2 linked regions of the Canis lupus familiaris genome follow. The protein of the gene in region 1 purifies or fractionates together with the protein of each later gene. This does not show direct contact. Links are inferred from orthologs where the notes say so. Each region holds a gene or a part of one and is shown in the gene's direction. Other genes may lie near its edges. The genes, in order: MAK and KATNIP.

Region 1 (9,068 bases):
CATATTTGAACATATACTCTCACTTTTAAAAGAGCATTTTCATTCATGTCATCAAAGGAAAGACAACTTTTAATTACTACATACCATTTCTTTCTATTTTATGCTATATGACTTGGATACATTTTTATGTATGGAATTTCACATTGTTAAGTCAGAAAAAACTTAGGCCTATTGAATAGACTGAGAAAAAAATGTGACAGATTGAAATGTTTGGTAGGTATTATTGACTTGGTTTATTTTTGTACCTCATTCATTACTTAAAACCACTTACTTTAGATTGGTGTTCTAAGATGTTCTTAGTCATGTAAAATATTATATAAAAACTTCAAATTTTATATAAGATATTATATAAAAACATTAAAACTTCATGAATTCAGAAGAAATGGAAGATAACGTAAGGTAATTATCATAGAGATTGATGAGATTTTGACAACTTCTATAACTTTAAGAATTCTAATGCTTATTTGCTGTGTTACAGTCTCTGAAGAAACTCAATCATGCCAATGTGATTAAACTAAAAGAAGTTATCCGAGAAAATGACCATCTCTATTTTATATTTGAATATATGAAAGAAAACCTCTATCAATTAATGAAAGACAGGTATGTCTTTATTTTATAAAAATGATGTTTTCTCTGTTATCTCTTCTATGAGTTTGTTGAATCCCTTCATATGTCACACTTTACAGTGTACAGATTTATCACTCCAAGAGGAGGATCTAAATTAATTAGCTGTTACCTTTATAAACTTGAAGAACCAGCCTTGACATAGTCACCATTTTTCTGATGTAAACATACACACTATCTATCTATCTATACTTTCTGAAACAAAATCTATCTATATTTTGGCTTATTGTGTGGCTTGTTTTTTAAGAAGGCTCCACACCCAGCATAGAGCCCAACATGGGGCTTGAACTCACGACCCTGAGATCAAGACCTGAGCTGAGATCAAGACTCAGACACCTAAACGGCTGAGCCACCCAAGTGTCCCCAAAATCTTTCTATACTTTTAATACTAATAAAGCTGGCCCTGGACAAAATTGAGATTACTTTTATTGCTCTCACAAGCATTTTGTGAAGGTTAATGAAAGGAGGGAGGAAGAAATGAGGCAGTTTTCATGAAGGGATCTAATAAGTTCACTTATTAGAATGTTTAAGTGGGGGACACCTGAGTGGCTCAGTGGTTGAAGTGTCTGCCTTCTGCTCAGGTTGTGATCCCTGGGTCCTGGGATCGAGTTCTGCTTCTCCCTCTGCCTATGTCTCTGCCCCTCTCTCTGTGTCTCTCATGAAAAAATAAATAAAATCTTTTTTAAAAAAAATGAATGTTTAAGTGAATGATAAAACAATGTTACTACCAGTGCCAAACAAATTCTCATTTTCATTTTTAAACCCATGAACAGAATCTCTAAAGCGGGAGAGCTTTAGTCATCTGCCATGAATTTGGGGACGTTAGTATTTCGGTGGTAGCTATCAGTCACACGTGGGAGACTACTGTCCATTTTACCTGCTTTTAAAGCCAGGTTTGTTCAACAAAAGATGCTAAGATACTTTAGAAATATATTTCCCAGTGGAATGATGACTGCTCTCTCTATATTCCTTTCATACATACACATAAACACACTCGAGGTAATCCTTAGGGATGGTGAGTGAATTTTTCTTTTGTCATATTTTTCTTCTTTCAAAAAAAAATACTTAGTAAATGCCTGTTAGGTTCCATAGGCTGGTATCATTACAACATTCATAGCAGTTAAAATAAAAGTAAGGAAAATATCTGTGCCTCAAATCAGTGTTTATTTTTCTAGAGTTCTTTCTAGCCCCTGGGATACAGGCATGCTGGTTTTTTACATAATTGCAATTTTAGTGGTGATCATTTTTTTATTTAATTGATTCATTTACAATCATTTTGTTATGCTGATATATAACCTTAACAGTTAATATGTTCTGTTAAATGACTATACCATGCTTCACTTATCTCTACTACTTAAAAGAAATAACTATCAATGGGAGAATAGATTGGTAATTGAAGTGTGTAATATTGATGGGATTATTTTGTAGCCATTAAAAGTGATAATTATAAAGATTATGAAAATTCCCATGAGTGGATAAAAAACAGAAATCAAAATTGTAATTATGTAACATTGATACCTAATATAAAAGCTATGCATATAAATGCATTAGAACTAGATTAGAATATTAAAAAATCATAATCAGGTGATAGGCAATCTTAAATGATATATATTAATTTTTATATTGTATATTTTTGATCACATGTTGAAATATCTGGTATATATTAAGTAAAATATATTGTTAAAACTAATTTCACCTGTTTTATCTGCTTTGTTAATTTGGCTACTAGAAAAAATTTAAATACGTAAGGGTTTCTCATTTGTGACTCTTACTGTATTTCCAGTGGAAGGTACCAGTAGACAATATAGAACTGAAGCAGTTATGCCCCTAAAATCTTAAAGCCTACATAATACAGATTTGCACACTTGACTTATCTGTTGGTTATCAGTTTTCCAATTTACTTTGCTCCTCTCAGGACAGTTTAAAATTCAGCTGTTGAATATTTGTATAGTACATTCATTATTGGATTTGAGAGTTTTTACCAAACATCAAAACAAACAAAAATTCTAATTGTCACGTTTTAGATGTATAACCTGTAACAACTATAAAGTTATAAATCACACCTTTAACCACTCTCTTGAAGCCAACAGGGGCTCCAGGGGAGGAGGAACATCTGCCTTCTTGTTTTGGTTGGTTGGTTAATAGAATTACATGAAGGTTTATTTGTTCATGTCTTTACAGAAACAAGCTGTTCCCTGAGTCAGTCATCAGAAATATTATGTATCAAATATTGCAAGGGCTGGCATTTATCCATAAACACGGTAGGTTTAAATTTCATCTCCCTCCATCTTTATATTACTGTCAAGGTCATGCCCAGGAATTTTAAGCTGTTAAATAATGTTATATTGAATAACTACAAATTTGCAGTATGTGGCTATACACACTGACATTTTTATCTTAAAAACTTAGAATTTCTATAATTCTTTATAAAATAGAATTGCTGTAATCTACAACTATCTTCCTCCGTAGCAGAATTTGTAAATTTGATAATTTACTCTCAGCATAAACCCGTCCCTACAACCTCATCTCCAGTTTTACCAAGGAAATGAAAAAAAGCAAACAAAAATGCCCTAAGAAAAGATTGGAATGATCATCTGACCACTTGTTAACATTTAAATAGTTTAAAGCACCAGTGCTATGGTATTTTATAGTTTTCTTAGTATTTACATTTGGTTGTTTCTGTTCTTTGAGTAAAATTAAATAAAGTGATTGTTCCTATTTTTATACATTTCTTATTTATGTGATCTTCATTTATAGCTTTTTATGTTTATCTAACCAATTAGTCCAGAAAGTTAACATGCTTATTATGAAAATTTTTATCAAATGTTTGTTTAGAATCACTAGATGTTTAGATACTAAATTGAAAGAGGTTGTGCTAGACCATTGCTGCGTTATGACCAGAAGCATTAGAAAATCACCATCATTAGCGTGCTTTCCTGTTTTATCTCATATTTTATATTTTTTCTTTTCCCCTTTAACTGCTACAGGAAATAATTTATTTATTCCATGTAAGCATTGTCAGAACATTCCCGAATCCCACTTTTTTGTCCTTTAAAAGTCGAAAGCCTGTGATAATATACTGCAATCCATTACTAAAAGTCAGTCATTTTTTAATTATTTGGAAACAAAGGATATATGCTATCTTATTTGTTGATAATGGATTTCCAATCTTCAACCTGTTTTTAAATACTGGCCAGTATGGTAACTCATGATATTTGCCTGCATTAACTTATGCCAGTAGAAAAACTGTGGTGTGGAAAAATCAAAAGCATTATGACTTATTTGATTTTTGGAAATAGCTTTGCGATTTATTGATATTTTTAAGGATTTATTGATTATTTTAAGGATATTTTTAAGTTTTTAAGGATAAAACTGACTTAGATTCCTTGGATATATATGAACTACTAGCAAATTCAGAGCATAAGTGATTGAAGGAAGAATTTAGCTTGGGGTTAAAAATTGCTGCTAAAAGTAAATAACATGAATAATGAATGTACAGTTGATTATACAACTGATGACACAGAGATTTGGGACACTAGACTCCAAGGACAATAGACATTTTTACAAAAGCTACATTATTCTTGCTATAGTGGATAAGCGTCTCAGATGTAATGCTTCGAGTAAGTATTTTTTAAATAGTAGCTGTCAAAAAAACAAGATTAATATTTCAGTTAAAATAGTACCAAGTTACCGATATATAGTAGTGAGAATGGGGAAAACCTCAACTGTACAAATATGCTGGTTTTATTCTCTATGATTTTATGGATTATGTCGCTTTACTCACCACCACATGTGCTCCTATCCCTGTCTTCATGTTATGAAAGTGCAGTGTATTTCCCTTGAAAGTTTGTAAAATAGATAACTATTTTGAGTAAGAAGTGCCAGATAAACTGAGTACAGAACCGCTATAGATGTCACGAACATAGAGCCCACACTGGCTTAGAAGGAAGCAAAAAGCTTAGTTTAAACTTTGACTTAAAAAATTTAAGGTGAAAGCTACAGGCCCTCACAACGATCACCTACAATGGATGACCAGGCCCCTTCTTGATTCTCCCAATCGCAAGGTCATTAGAATACAGCCCATCTGTGTACAGCCAGGGTGCTATAGATCTCCCTTAGAAATGTATAAAGGCTTTCATCTTCCTGAGTTTTCTGGCTCATTTTCATTGATCTGCCTTTTAGCTTCAGTAACCACTTATTTTACATATTGAATTGATAAGTAACCATAAAGCTGCTACCGGGGAAAACTGAGCTGTTAATAAAATAATTACAAATATTTGTAAATGAAAGCTGTTAAATAAAATAATTGTAACTAATGGTAAGTCAAAGAATTGGCTAAAATGCATGGAGTTCCATTTTTGTTTTTTTTTTAAAAGATTTAATTTATTTATTCATGAGAGACACACACAGAGAGAGAGGCAGAGACACAGGCAGAGGGATAAGCAGGTTCTTTTTTTTTTTTTTTTTTTTTTTTTGAGGAGAAGCAGGTTCTATGCAGGGATCCAATATGGGACTCGATCCCAGGAGTCCAGAATCACGTCCCAGGTCAAAGGCAGATGCTAAACCGCTGAGCCACCCAGGCATCCCTCAATTTTGTTTAATAGATTTTTCAAAGAAGTGACATAAGCTTGATTATGCAGCTTTCTTCAGGCTTTAATTAGCCTCCTCCTCTCTGGGCCTCTACCTCCTCCTTTACTACACAATAGTGACCATAATACCTCCTCAAAGCTGTTGTGCAAATGAATGGAGATAATCATAAAGTGGCAATATCTAGCCCATTGCTTGAACTTACTGGATTCACAAATATAAATATGTGTTAAATGGGTATTTTTAATGACTTCATATACTCTGTGAACTTTCTTACCAAATTATTTTGAAAGCAGAGTCCCACGTCCATCACTTTTTAGATAATAAATATGGTTTCTTTTTTTCTCCTAAGTTCACATTCTTAATTACAACAGAGAGTCTCAGTTATATTTTGTTTAGAAGTCAAATATATTCAAACATAATGATCAATTATTCTTCCTCTCTGTTACCAAGGTTTTTTTCATAGGGATATGAAACCAGAGAACTTGCTTTGTATGGGGCCAGAACTTGTGAAAATTGCTGATTTTGGACTTGCAAGAGAATTAAGATCACAGCCACCATATACTGATTATGTATCTACCAGATGGTGAGTAGTTTTATACAACTTCCTAGAGATATAGGTAGGTCTATGCTGAAATTTTACAGTAGGGGATCATTACGTAGCTTTCTAGAGGTTCCATATTGAGTATTTAAAACAAAATCTAGGGGCACCTGGGTGGCTCAGTCGGTTAAGGTTCTGCCTTGGGCTCAGGTCATGATCCCAGGATCCTGGGATTGAGCCCCACATCAGACTTCCTGCTCATGGAGAAGCAGGGAGCCTGCTTCTCCTTCTCCCTGTTCATACTCTCTCTCACTATTTTTGTCACTATCTTTGTCTTTCAAATAAAATATTTTTCAAAAATTTAAAAAACAAAAAAAAAACTATAGAACTGAATTTTGCTTTCTGTAGAGAGAGGATTGGGTCATGACTATTCTGAAAGAAAAGAGATTTCATTCATTCACTCATTCATTCAACAAACATTTGTGGAACATACTATGTGCTAGGTACTATTTCAGGCATGGGGAACAGTGAGATGAACGAAACAGAAAAACACTGTCTCAGGCCACTGACCTGACATCAGTATACAAATAAACCAGTTAAAAACATAGTTACCAACAGAAAGACATACAGATGTTTATCAAAAGACATGTAATAGTCTCATGGGACACGTGGGTGGTTCAGTGGTCGAGTGTCTGCCCTTGGCTCAGGGTGCGTGATCCCGGAGTGCTATGATCAAGTCCCGCATCGGGCTCCCTGCGTGGAGCCTGCTTCTCCCTCTGCCTGTGTCTCTGCCTCTCTCTCTCTGTGTCTCTCATGAATAAATACACAAAATCTTTAAAAAAAAAAAAAAAGACATGTAATAGTCCCAAACTGCAACTACCCAAATGTCCAATACATGCAGCATAATATATTCACCCAGTGGGATGCTTTACAACAATGAGAACATAAGTTTACAACTACATACAAGAGGCCAAACAGGAAAAAAAAGTACATAAGGTATGATTCCATTTATACAAAGTGCAAAAATAGAGAAAACTAATCTATGCTGGTAGAAGTCAGGGTAGCAGTTCCTTGAGTAGTGATTGCATGACTGCAGGAGGGGGGCCACCTGGAATGCTGATAACACCCAGTTTCTTGATCTTGGTGCTGGGTCAATGGGTGTATTCTCTATGTGAAAATTCATCAAGGTGTTCTCTTACTAATATGTGCATTTTTCTGTATGTGTATTACATTTCAACAAAAACAAGAATAATTGTATATCAGGTGGTGATAGATTATTATTATGGAGAAGAATAAAATATGGAAAGAGCCAGGAAAAGGCCTGTTGTTATTTTAAATAGAGGGTCTCCCTGAGAAGGAGATGCCAAGGCAAGAAGGAGTTTTCAGGCAGAGAAAATGCTAAGTGTAGAGGCCTTGAAACAGGAAAGCCACATGTGAATTCAGCAAAGAGCAGAATGAGTAAGGAGGGCTGTATTAGGAAATGGGGTGGAGAACTGACAGAGAGCAAGATCTTAGAGGTCTTCATAGATCATAGTAGCACTGTGGTGGTTTGTTAATCTGAGTGAACTGGGGAGCCCCCTGGAGGATGCTGAGAAGAGGTGCCATGTGATCTGACATGTCTTATAAGTATTACTCTCCAGGCTATATTAAAAATAGATTTTAGAAGAGCAAGGAAAGAAGCAGGGAGACCAGGTAGGAGGCTGTTACAGTAATTCTGGCAGGAAATGACAGTGACTTGGATCTGCTGGCCATGGAGGTGCTATTTTTAAAGTAGAGCAACCATGATTTCCTGATGAATCAGATGTAGGGTATAAAATAAGAAGCCAAAGATTCTAGGGGGTTTTGTTTTGTTTTGTTTCTTGAGTAACTGGAAGGATGATGTCAGCACTAACAGAGAAAGGGAATACTGTGTAGCTTTTGAGGGGAAGCACAGTTCCATTGAGTATCTATTTTCAACTGGGTAAATTTAGATTCTATACTGAAATGGAATGAAATTGAGAAGACTCGTTTTTACCATCTAAACTTAGCAAGACATTCAAAACAATTTCATCTAGTAAAAATATCAAAACATAGTAATGACTATTGACAAAGCCACGGAGAAACTGAATCCATCATACGTCATTGGTGTGAATGTAAAATGGTGCAAAATAACAGTTCCTCAGTGGTTAAACATATAGTTACCATGGGATCCGGCAATTCCACACCTTGATCTATATACCCCAGAGAAAGGAAAACACACATCCACACAAAAATTTACATATGAATGTTCAGAACAATATTACTTAGAACAGCCCCAAATTGGAAACAACCCAAATGCCCGTCCACTGATGAATGGAGAAATAGTATGTGCTAGAGCCATACAGCAAGACAGTATTCAGCAGTAAAAAGAATGAAGTATGATACATGCTACAATATGGATGGATGAACTTTGAAAACATGTTGAAGGAAAGAAGGCAGTCCACAAGGACTGGATGGTGTATTGTTCACTGGTATGAAGTACACACAATAGGCAAATATATAGAGACAGAATGTTGACCAGTGCTGGGGATACAGGGGTATTGGGGAGGTGTGAGGTTTCCTTTGGGGCAGTGAAAATGCTCAAAATTGATTGTGACAGTGGATTACACACTCCACTTAAAGCCCTGGAGTCATACACTTTTAAATGGATAAGTTGAATTTTATTCAAATTACATCTCAATAAATCTGTCAAAGAAAGGTACTCAGAATAGAAGCAAAAAGACAAATATTTGGGCTGAAAAATCTATACATTTAAATGTGAAAAAAAAGTTAGAATTGAGAATATTTTCCACCAGGTACCTTTGCTCTAATAGGATATTTTTCTCCATTAAAGATACAGTCAGTTGGGGGAACATAGTCCACTGAAGGAATCAGCACTTTGAAACTGATGAATAATAATAATAATAAAACCCCACTGCTTAGGGATCTTCTTTGTTAATCTTTTGTTTTCTATCCTTCATATAAATATATCATGAATATAATGCTTTGTAAAATTAATACAACTGTTCTCAATCAGAATATATCTTCCATTCAGAGCTCTCCCCCAACGCTGTCTTATAGTACTTATTTCCATATTTATTCATTTGAGTTCCTATCTTAGGCCACTTGGACATTTCATTTATATTTGTCTCCAGCTCCACCAACTGTCTCTCTGTGGTCAGGGAAAATGTGTTATGTCCAACTGAACCCCAACACCCAACACGTTGTACAAATACCAGACACATAGAAGACACTTAATACCGGTTCCTTGATTGAAATACATGCCCAAACCCTACTGCCACTCCATCCTTCCAACTAT
Region 2 (9,068 bases), on another chromosome or scaffold:
TCTGTGGAATAGAAAGGCCCACACGGCGGAGCTGATCTTTAGGGAGGTTAGTGAAGCTGGAGGGCCTCACCCAGGGCCCTGGTCATTCCCAGCTAGGGGAGACAATGCCAATTGGAGGAATTAGTGGCAGATTCCCTCTCAGGCACAGGGAGCTTGAAGTGACAGAGTGGACACCTCTGGACCTTCGGGGTGGGGGTGGGGGGTCGCTGGGCCCAGAAAGTGGTGGCTGAGGAAGAAAAGCCAGAACTTGCCATAGAAAATTGAGCAGCGCCTGCCTGGCAACTAGAAGCTGGCTGGGTGAGCTCAGAAAGGGAGGGCAGTGTTGAGAGGGGACCCGACAGGGCTGGGCAGAAGCCCGGGGTAGGGCTAGGGGGTGGAGAGGCTGGCAACAGAAGCAGTGGAGAGACAGGAAGCACAAACGCTCCCAAGCCCTGAGCCAGCCCTGAGGGACTGTCAAGTGGAAGACTCCACCTGGAAGTCATCATGATTCTGTATCTGGTTTGCAGAAAGTCAGCTCAGTGGAGGGTTGTGGGAATTTCAGGACTCTTACGGAGGCCACCGGGGCTCTGGCTTCAGGCATGGCTAAATCTAGGGGCTCAAATGACGTCATCGGGACTCTCTCCATCTCCGCTCACGTTCCCTGTGTTGGCTTCGTTATCAGCCAGGATCCCCACCCCTCCACCCCACCCCACCCCACCCCCGCCACTCACAGCATAGCAAAGTGGCCACTGGCACTGTCCAACATCCTGCCCCCTAGGGGCGCCAGTTTAAAGAGAGCTGCTCTCTCTCCATAGCTCCTTTCCCCACCCAGAAGGACAGCTGGCAGCATTCGCCTAATCTGGATGGTCTGATGGTGGGGGCATCCCCAAAGGAAAATCAGGAGGAGGGCAGGTGGGTCTTAGGTGCGCCAAACAGGTAACTCTGCAGAGCCCCCCCCCCCCCCCATAGCAGGGTTGAGGGAAGGTGGGAGTGGGGAGGGCGCAGGGGCTGCAGCCGAGGGAGGGAGAACATAGGGCGGCCTTTGGAGGAAGCCACGAGATCAGGTCCAGCTTCCCTTTTCTTTCCAGTAGGAGAGATTTATGCATGTCTGCAGGCAGACAGAGGGCAAGGTGCCAGTGGGGAAGGGGTGACAGAGGGTTCTGGAGAGAGAGGATAATTGATGAAGCCAGGCCCCCTAGGAGACAGGCAGAAAATGGAGTGCAAGGCACAGTCCAATATGAAAAGAGGAAAAACAGAACGTCAGTGTCCATCAGCTGCTGTTTTTCCAGAATGACACCCTTCCATGGCACTTAGCCACAGCATGGCTGTGAGGACAGGCCGCTGCAGGGGGCGCACGCCGGGGCTCTTCTGTGCTACAGGGAGGAGAGTGCGGCCTTCAGACCTGGCCCCCTGAGGGCCAGGCCCGCGCTCCGCACATGCTGGGACGCAGGCTTCCCTTCTCGAAGCCAGCCTAGCCACACAGAGGAGTAAACTCCTTACCTGTATACCTGTGTTGTTGGCAATTCTTATAGCACTTTTTCTTGGTTATAAAAATAGTACATCTGGGGAGCTCAGAAGATGGGGAGCTGAAGAAGCTAGAAGTCCTCCGGACTCCGCACTCAGAAAGCAGCATGTTTACACGTAGGTGCCCACTGCCCATAACCAGGGTCTGCGGCGGCCGCAAGAGTACAGCTGGCTTCTCCCCACCTAGCATTCTTGTGCGAGCGAGCATTCCACCCATTCTTTGAAAATATCCTGAGTCAGGTGACAGGGCGGCCTCAGAGCAGCCCCTCTGGCTGCTGACTCAGGCGCTGTCGCCAGGCCACCCCGTCCTGGGAGGCTCTGAAGTGTAGGATGGCTTCTCTGCAAAGGTTCTCACACAACAGAAGGTCTGCCCTTGATCTGCATGTGGGCCACATTCTTAGAAAATCCAAAGTACACTGAAAAATATTTTGCATTTTTTGCAAAACAACCAGAATCGAGACTCGGGTAACCATAATCAGTGTTTACCAAGCTGAATGTTGGCGTGTGACCCGAGGCCCAGAGTGTCCTGTGCAGGGCAGGAGAGTCCCATCCTGGTCCCACCCTGGTCAAAGGCCAGGAGGGCCTCTAGGCGTTGAGACAGCTAAGAGCAACACCCCCCCCCACCCCTGATTTCTAGAATGCCCTCCCGAGGGCGACCCACCTAGCCGAGAGCTCCCCAGTTGGGACGATCTGTAAGGGTCCCCACTCGCACACCTGCCGCTAACGGGGCTCCACCCCTCCTTTGTTCTTCCAGAGAACACCCAGTCCGCCAAGACGCCGCTGCGCTCCCAGTGCTGCAGCGAGCAGGAGCACACGCTGCACGAGTCCTGGGACTCCCTCAGCGCCTTTGACCGCTCCCACCGGGGACGCATCTCCAACATGGAGCTGCAGGGGGACATCCTGGACGAGTTCCTGCAGCAGCAGAAGGGCAGCCGGCACGGCGAGCAGCTGCCCCCCGGCAAGGAGGAGAAGCCAGAGCCAAGGAGAGGCCCGGAGGACAGCCCCGGAGAGCCCGACGACGGCAGTGACTTTGAAATCCCTGTCTTGCCTTACGGACAGCGCCTGGTCATCGACATCAAGTCCACGTGGGGGGACCGGCACTATGTCGGCCTCAACGGAATAGAAATATTCAGTTCAGAGGGGGAGCCAGTGCAAATCGCGAACATTTGCGCGGACCCCCCTGACATCAATGTTTTACCTGCCTACGGGAAGGACCCCCGCGTGGTCACCAACCTCATCGACGGGGTGAACAGGACCCAGGACGACATGCATGTCTGGCTGGCCCCCTTCACACTGGGCAAGCCCCACTCCATCTCCATAGACTTCGTGCACCCTTGCCAAGTCGCCCTGATCCGAATATGGAACTACAATAAATCTCGGATACATTCCTTCCGTGGCGTGAAGGACATCACCATGCTGCTAGACGCACAGTGCATCTTTAAAGGAGAAATCGCCAAGGCCTCGGGGACCCTGACGGGAGGTACAGTATGTCTGTAAGAATGTTCTGGAAGCCACTACCTGCTACCCGCTGAGGCTCTGAGGAAAGACAAAAGGCCCTGGCTAGCCAGTGACAGATGGGTCTCTCTTCCTGGGCCTGGCTCACTCCTCGCTTTTTGTAGCGTGGGGGGCGCAAGAGCTGACCTCATTTAAACTCCTCCCCTGGGTGCAGTCCTTACTCCGCGTCTGCCTTGAAGAAGGGGGGATTCTTCTACAAGCGACTTATTTGCGGGTGCTCCCAGGAGAGCCTGTGGTGCAAGGAGAGAGACAGGATGAGAATGGGAGACGCTAGGCAGGGCGAGGGCGAGGGGGAAGCCGAATCGCAGCCTGATCCCGAACGGAGCTCTGGAGCATAACTTGCAGGGTCTGTCCTGCCTTAAGGCAGAGCAGCAGGGCTCCCCAAGGTTGGGGGTGTAACTCCCATGCCCTACCAGGCAAACCTCCAGCTCCCCAAAAGGCATCAGCAGGCACTTGGGTGGGGCCCCAACAGCATCTGCTAAGGTGCCTCCCCCACACCTTAGAAGCATCTCTCATTTCAGGCCGGATCACGATTCTCATTAGGTTAGATCCCTTCATTAGGACTAAGTGGTTCCTGGGGCATGTGAATCCCATTTGCAAATGTGTGAATAATAATAAGGGAGGCTTCCTAACACAAATCAGGAACTGGTGGTGGTTGGGGATGGGGTTTTTAGCACAGAGGTTGGTGGGTCTGGGTCCCTGCTCTCCAAACCATTGTGATTCGGGCGGGGTGAGTTGACTCTTCCTCTCTCCCTGGCATCCCATCCAGCCCCAGAGCACTTTGGAGACACCATCTTGTTCACGACGGACGATGACATTCTGGAGGCCATATTCTGCTCAGATGAGACCTTTGACGGGGATGTGGCGAGCCCCTGCAGCCTGCAGAGCGAGGAGACGCCCAGGAGGCCGAGCACCGCCGACAGCGATGGGGGGGACAGGCCCTACACCCGGGCCGGCTCGTGGGCTGAGGACCGGGTAGGACTGGGGGGAAGGGGGCCCCCGGAGACATTTCTCCTCCTGACTCCGAGTGGAACAGGAGGGATGAAGATGGATGGCCTTTAAGCTGCTGGTGCTACTGTTTTGACATTTCCCATTTTTCTACTTCATTTTTTGGTCCTCTGTGTCATATTTCATTCTCTAATTATGTTTTATTTTTTTATTTTTTTTTAAGCAAAGTGAAGAAAGTATTCAAATTTTAATCAAAGCTAGGAGAAATCAGTTCTGCGTCATCTCTGTAATTTAGAGGTTGGCAGTCTCAGGGGAATTTTTGCTTTGGGTTGCGGTTTGATCGCTCACTGTTGTTTCTGATGGAAAGGACTAGGAACGCTTTTAATAGGCAGCCTTAGAATTAAAATAATGATCACCTCACCATCATTTTCCGCACACGTATGGCGATTCGGTGATAGAGCACCGTGTCACCCTTGCAAGTAGGGATCACCAGTATCCCCATTTGAGAAATCAGGGCTCAGACCCGTTAAGTGACTTGACCAAGGACACACAGCAGGAGCGTAACCAGGCTAGAACTTGAATGCGTGACTCCAAAGTCTGTGTTTTTAACCTCATAAACCAATTTTTTAGGAACTGAAAGACGACATTCAGGGGAAAGGTCAGTCTAAGTGAAGAACCAGTAATCTGGAGAGCCAGGCCCCCCAGGGATGGTCTTGAGGCCCTAGGAGAAAGAGGAGATGGTTACAGAGGGTGGGGGAGGGGAGCGGGGACAGCTGGAAACCAGAGGACCGAAGGCAGGGCCCGGCAAGGTCGTGAGGCTGTGGTGTGCAGATCCCCACTGTGTTCACTGGGGGTAAAAATCCGCAGGGGTAGGCAGAAGTGTCATGCAAGACTAGGGGGTGCTAAGGCCCCTGCTTCTCAGGACAGACGGGAGCTGCTAGTTCATGTTGGTAGTTGTCCTGATTTCTTCCGGGAGGAGCCAGAAATCTGGGCTTTTATGGAAAATGTCCCAATTAAAAACCGTTGGCAACTAAGTGGGAAGGCTTTCAAACCTTCTGTGAGCCACAGCACGTCTGTGGTCTAGAAGTGATTCATGGGTCTCCAGTCGGGAGCTGACCTTGAAGGCTTCCTTTCATGTGCCCAGCGTTTTCCAAATGCTTCTAAGGGTCTCTGATCACATCCAGCCTGGGAGGGACAGGAAGGAATCCTCACTGTCTCAGAGACAAGGAGCCCGTGTTCTGGGAGGCCAGTGTCACAACCCTAGAAAGTGCCAGGGCTGGAGCCTTACCCACCCTGTCTCGGTGTCCAGGTCAGTGCAGCCACCAGGGAGAGATCCACCAGGGAGAGTCCCAGGAGGCTCTGGGAGGGTAGGGAGCCCAGGAAGGCATGAGAAGGCACATGGGCCAGGACAGTAGCCTCCCCTGGTGGCCTGAGGCTGCTTGGTGTTGTGCATGCTCCTGGAAGACCATCTTCCTCACCCTCTTCCCCACAGCCAGGCAAGAAAGGGCCTCAAGAGGCTATGTCTAAGGGGCCAGGCCGAGGGTTCCATGATTCCTGGGACTGAAACACCATCCCCACCAAAAAACTCTAACACCCGGACAGCCAGCTTCCCCTCCTTTTGCATCTCAGCCTCCTTGTCTGCAAAACAGTAAAGGCCCTTTTGCCCTAACTTACGGTGTAGCAATCTAATGAGCAAGATGTACCCATGAGATCTGGGAAGTGGGGTGTGGCTGCCCCCTCTGCCTGCCTGTAGACCAGGGGTTCTTTATCCTGGCTTCCCTTGGGAATCACCGGAGGAGCTTTAAAAAGGCAGATTCCCAGGCCTCTCAGGTTGAGGGCCACTCTCTGTGGTTGAATTTTTCCCCCTTCTTCCCTCCCTCCATCCCTCTCTGCTGATCCTCCTCCCTGCCTCCTTCCTCAGGCTCCCTAGGTAAACATCTATTGGGTCTTTCTCTGCTCCAGAAAATCTGCTCACCTTAGCCAATGGCCTCAAACTCCTCCCCTACCAACAAGAGGTGCTGGCAAGGACTCAGACACACAGGGGTTTCTGGGTCTGCCCATGGTATCAGTCACACAGCTTCCATGGTGGCAAAAAATGCAAGACAAGACACAAGGGAGTATCTGGGGCTCGGGGTGGATAGTAGCATGGCCAGCCAGCTGTACGGGTATCAGAAAAGTCACCTACTTTCCTTCTGCTTCTCCCCTAACCCGTGTGTAGATCCCGGGGCTAGAGCCGCCACCCAGTCCCCCTGTCCCTGAAGTAACCACGCCAGAGCCGGGCATCTACCACGGGATCTGTGAGTATCCTCTTTTGGGACAGTGTCCAGGGGAAGAAGGAGCATCAGGGGCCAGGGAGAGCCATGGCTACTGGGTCAGGGACCCTCGGACAGTTGGGCAGGTTGTACATGGCACAAAGATGCCAAGCCACGGGATGGATGGGGGGTAACACAGCCTAGACTTGGCTCGCTGGTCGTGGCAGGTCTACATCACTGTGGAGGAGGGACACCTCTCTGCAGCAGGCCTTTCCAGAAGGGCACTTTTGTATTTTGAGTGCAGACATCTTATGTGTTAGTTGTAGCCCTGACCCAGGAGGCTGCAGCTAGAGCCCAGAAAGCATAGAACAGACAGGAAGAGATCTGAGGCATCTGTCAGTCCAGTGATTTGGGACCTTCAAACCCAGATGCACACATAAAAGAAAATCTGCATCTTCCCCATTCCAGGTGGGGCGGGGGCAGCAGGAATACTAGCCCAGGGTGCTGGGTCTTCTGAGAAGGCAGAGATTTGGATATTTATGTGAAATCTCCAAAAGTTTAAGTGTTGGGTGGCTAATTTTATGATATTTTAAAAACACCATGTCTGTGGCCTCTGAGCAAACCCCATCCGGGTTTCACTGTGTCTGTTCCCTCTTCTTTTCCCCACTTACCCTTCCAGCTGCTCCCTCCCCGCTCAGTACACATGCTCAGCCAGCACCTGTGGTGCGTCCTGGGGAATCTTCAGACCCCAGGCCCTGGCTTATGGATCTCTCTCCCCTGCCCCGTCCAGGAGACTCTGTCAGCCACTCTTTGCTGGGGTTCCCTGGGGCGAGCTGTTGAGGGAGGGCAGCAAGCAGGATGGGCAGAGGGAGCCCTGGAGCTGCAAAGGCCCCTTGAACCGGTCCTGAGTTGAGTGAGGGGTCAGGGCTCCATGTGTCTGTATCTGCAAGTTTCGGGATGCGGGCTGCCTCTGGGGACAGGCAAGGCCAAGGAAGCAAGGGTGGGAGGACTCAACTGTGAGGCTGTTGGCACTCCCCTCCCCTGGAGGAGTGAGTCCTTCAGTCCCAGGGGTGGGCATGGGACCCGGGCACCACCCCCCAGCAGCCTCAACACCCCTTTCTCGAGGCCTTGCTGCCACCCACTTCTTCCCCAAGAGGCCTGCCCACCTGCCCAGCGAGAACCGTGTCTGCCTCCCTCACTTCCCAAAGACAAATTCCCTCTTAGAAGGGGAAGATACCTGACTTGGAGTCCTCATGGCTCCTCACATTCCAGAACACTCTCTCAATTTCTCTCACTTAGTCTGAGACAACAGAGAATTTCTAGAGCCAGCCTAGGGCAGGCAAGAGCCTGGTTTGGGGCTTGGTTTTGTCTCCCACTCAGGCACCCTGCTGAGGCTTCCCCTGCCGTATCTCAGTGAACACTCCGTTCTTATTGGGTCCATACAGCTGGATCTGGGGGTGCAAATGATGTCATCATGCCTTGGTGTTTCCCTCCCGCTCTTTGCGCTGTCTCGCTCTCTCTTGCCTTTCTCCCACTCGGACCCATCCACACAACAGGTCCCCCTGGAAGCCCTGGCTTTACGTTCACGTTCTGGCCGGCAATCCCAGATAAATGAGAGCCTTGGTTCCCAGGAAGTCCAGCAACGGGTCCAGAATCAGGCCTCCTCGGCCTGGCTTGGTCACCTGCCATCTGTAAGCCAATGGCTGCGGCTCACTGTGGTGGGGAGTGGGGGTGTGTGAGGTGCAAAACTGGGATTGGCCACACCTGAGGCAGAGGCACATCCCTGGAGCCCCGAGACCAGGGTCAGCCGCCCCCTGGAGCCCTGGTAGAGGTCAGAGTGCCACAGCCAGAGAAGGAGGGAAAGGAGGCTGGCGGGAGGCAGCCACCATCCCCTTCATCTGATCATTTCCCCAAAGATGCTGTCTGTAAATGTCCTTCCTGCTGAAGCGGCTTCTGACCTTTCTCAGAAATGTATTTCAATACCTTCGGGAGTGTTGCCCTGGAGCAGAGCTCGGAGCCCTTGTTGCCGTAAGGAACGTGCGATTTCTCAGCTGCTCTGCTCAGTAGGAAGGAGAACCTCCTGACCAAGCATCCTTCTGCACTTTTTGGAGGCATATGATTTCCGAATCTCTCTTGTCTGAACCTTTTTGTTTTCCCCCACTGTCTCAAATCCTCAACCCACTTCACCAGCCTGTGCAAATGGAGAGAGCTTTGATAACGTGACCCGGGGGGATGCGCTGGGGTTGGTAAATATGGCCAATCCTATTAATGTTTTGAAAGGGGATATATGACTTGCTAATTTGCAGATGACACTAATTTTGGGCGTTTTGCAAATATCAGCAGTGATGAATAGGAAAGTAGCTGAGAGAGTTGAAACGTGGGAGAGAAATAACAAAATTAATTTCCATTTATATAAATACTAATTGATACACCAGAGGAAAATGAATATAGAACGTGAATATTAGCTCAAACAGGAGAGCAGGCGCTTTTGGAGCAACCCCAAATTAGATGTCCTTGCAGTCCGTCGTGCCAAGCAAGCAAAGGGGGTGGCTGGGGAGAGGCTGGGGGGCCACCTCTTGTTTTGCCTGGGGGAGGTTGCATTTCTCCCTCACGGTGATCGCCTCATCCAAATCCACTCCCTCTGCCATCGTGCACTCTGCCTCTCGGGACCAGTACCCACAGCCACTTTGTCGCTTGGGTCAAAAACATTGTCTCTTTCCTTCCCTGCAGAAGCCACTGAACATCCTGGTGGTGCTGTCTCCAAGACAGATCCTGAATCTGTCCGCTTCACCCCATTTTCACCAGGGCCACCCCTTGTCCAGGGCACCAGTATCACAACAGCCTCCTCCC

The links.
Region 2: the proteins of MAK (region 1) and KATNIP purify together in Homo sapiens (affinity purification with mass spectrometry; 3 studies listed by BioGRID and IntAct, with this or other methods). This does not show direct contact. The link is inferred for Canis lupus familiaris from reciprocal best matches to the Homo sapiens genes MAK and KATNIP.

What each region holds. Positions count from the first base shown.
Region 1 is NC_049256.1:11,804,997-11,814,064, reverse strand, and holds part of MAK (serine/threonine-protein kinase MAK), read left to right. Parts: intron 1-478; coding exon 479-600; intron 601-2,805; coding exon 2,806-2,885; intron 2,886-5,664; coding exon 5,665-5,797; intron 5,798-9,068. UniProt on the Homo sapiens protein: Essential for the regulation of ciliary length and required for the long-term survival of photoreceptors. Phosphorylates FZR1 in a cell cycle-dependent manner. Plays a role in the transcriptional coactivation of AR.
Region 2 is NC_049227.1:19,123,776-19,132,843, reverse strand, and holds part of KATNIP (katanin-interacting protein), read left to right. Parts: intron 1-1,536; coding exon 1,537-1,620; intron 1,621-2,257; coding exon 2,258-2,983; intron 2,984-3,787; coding exon 3,788-3,993; intron 3,994-6,184; coding exon 6,185-6,263; intron 6,264-9,068. UniProt on the Homo sapiens protein: May influence the stability of microtubules (MT), possibly through interaction with the MT-severing katanin complex.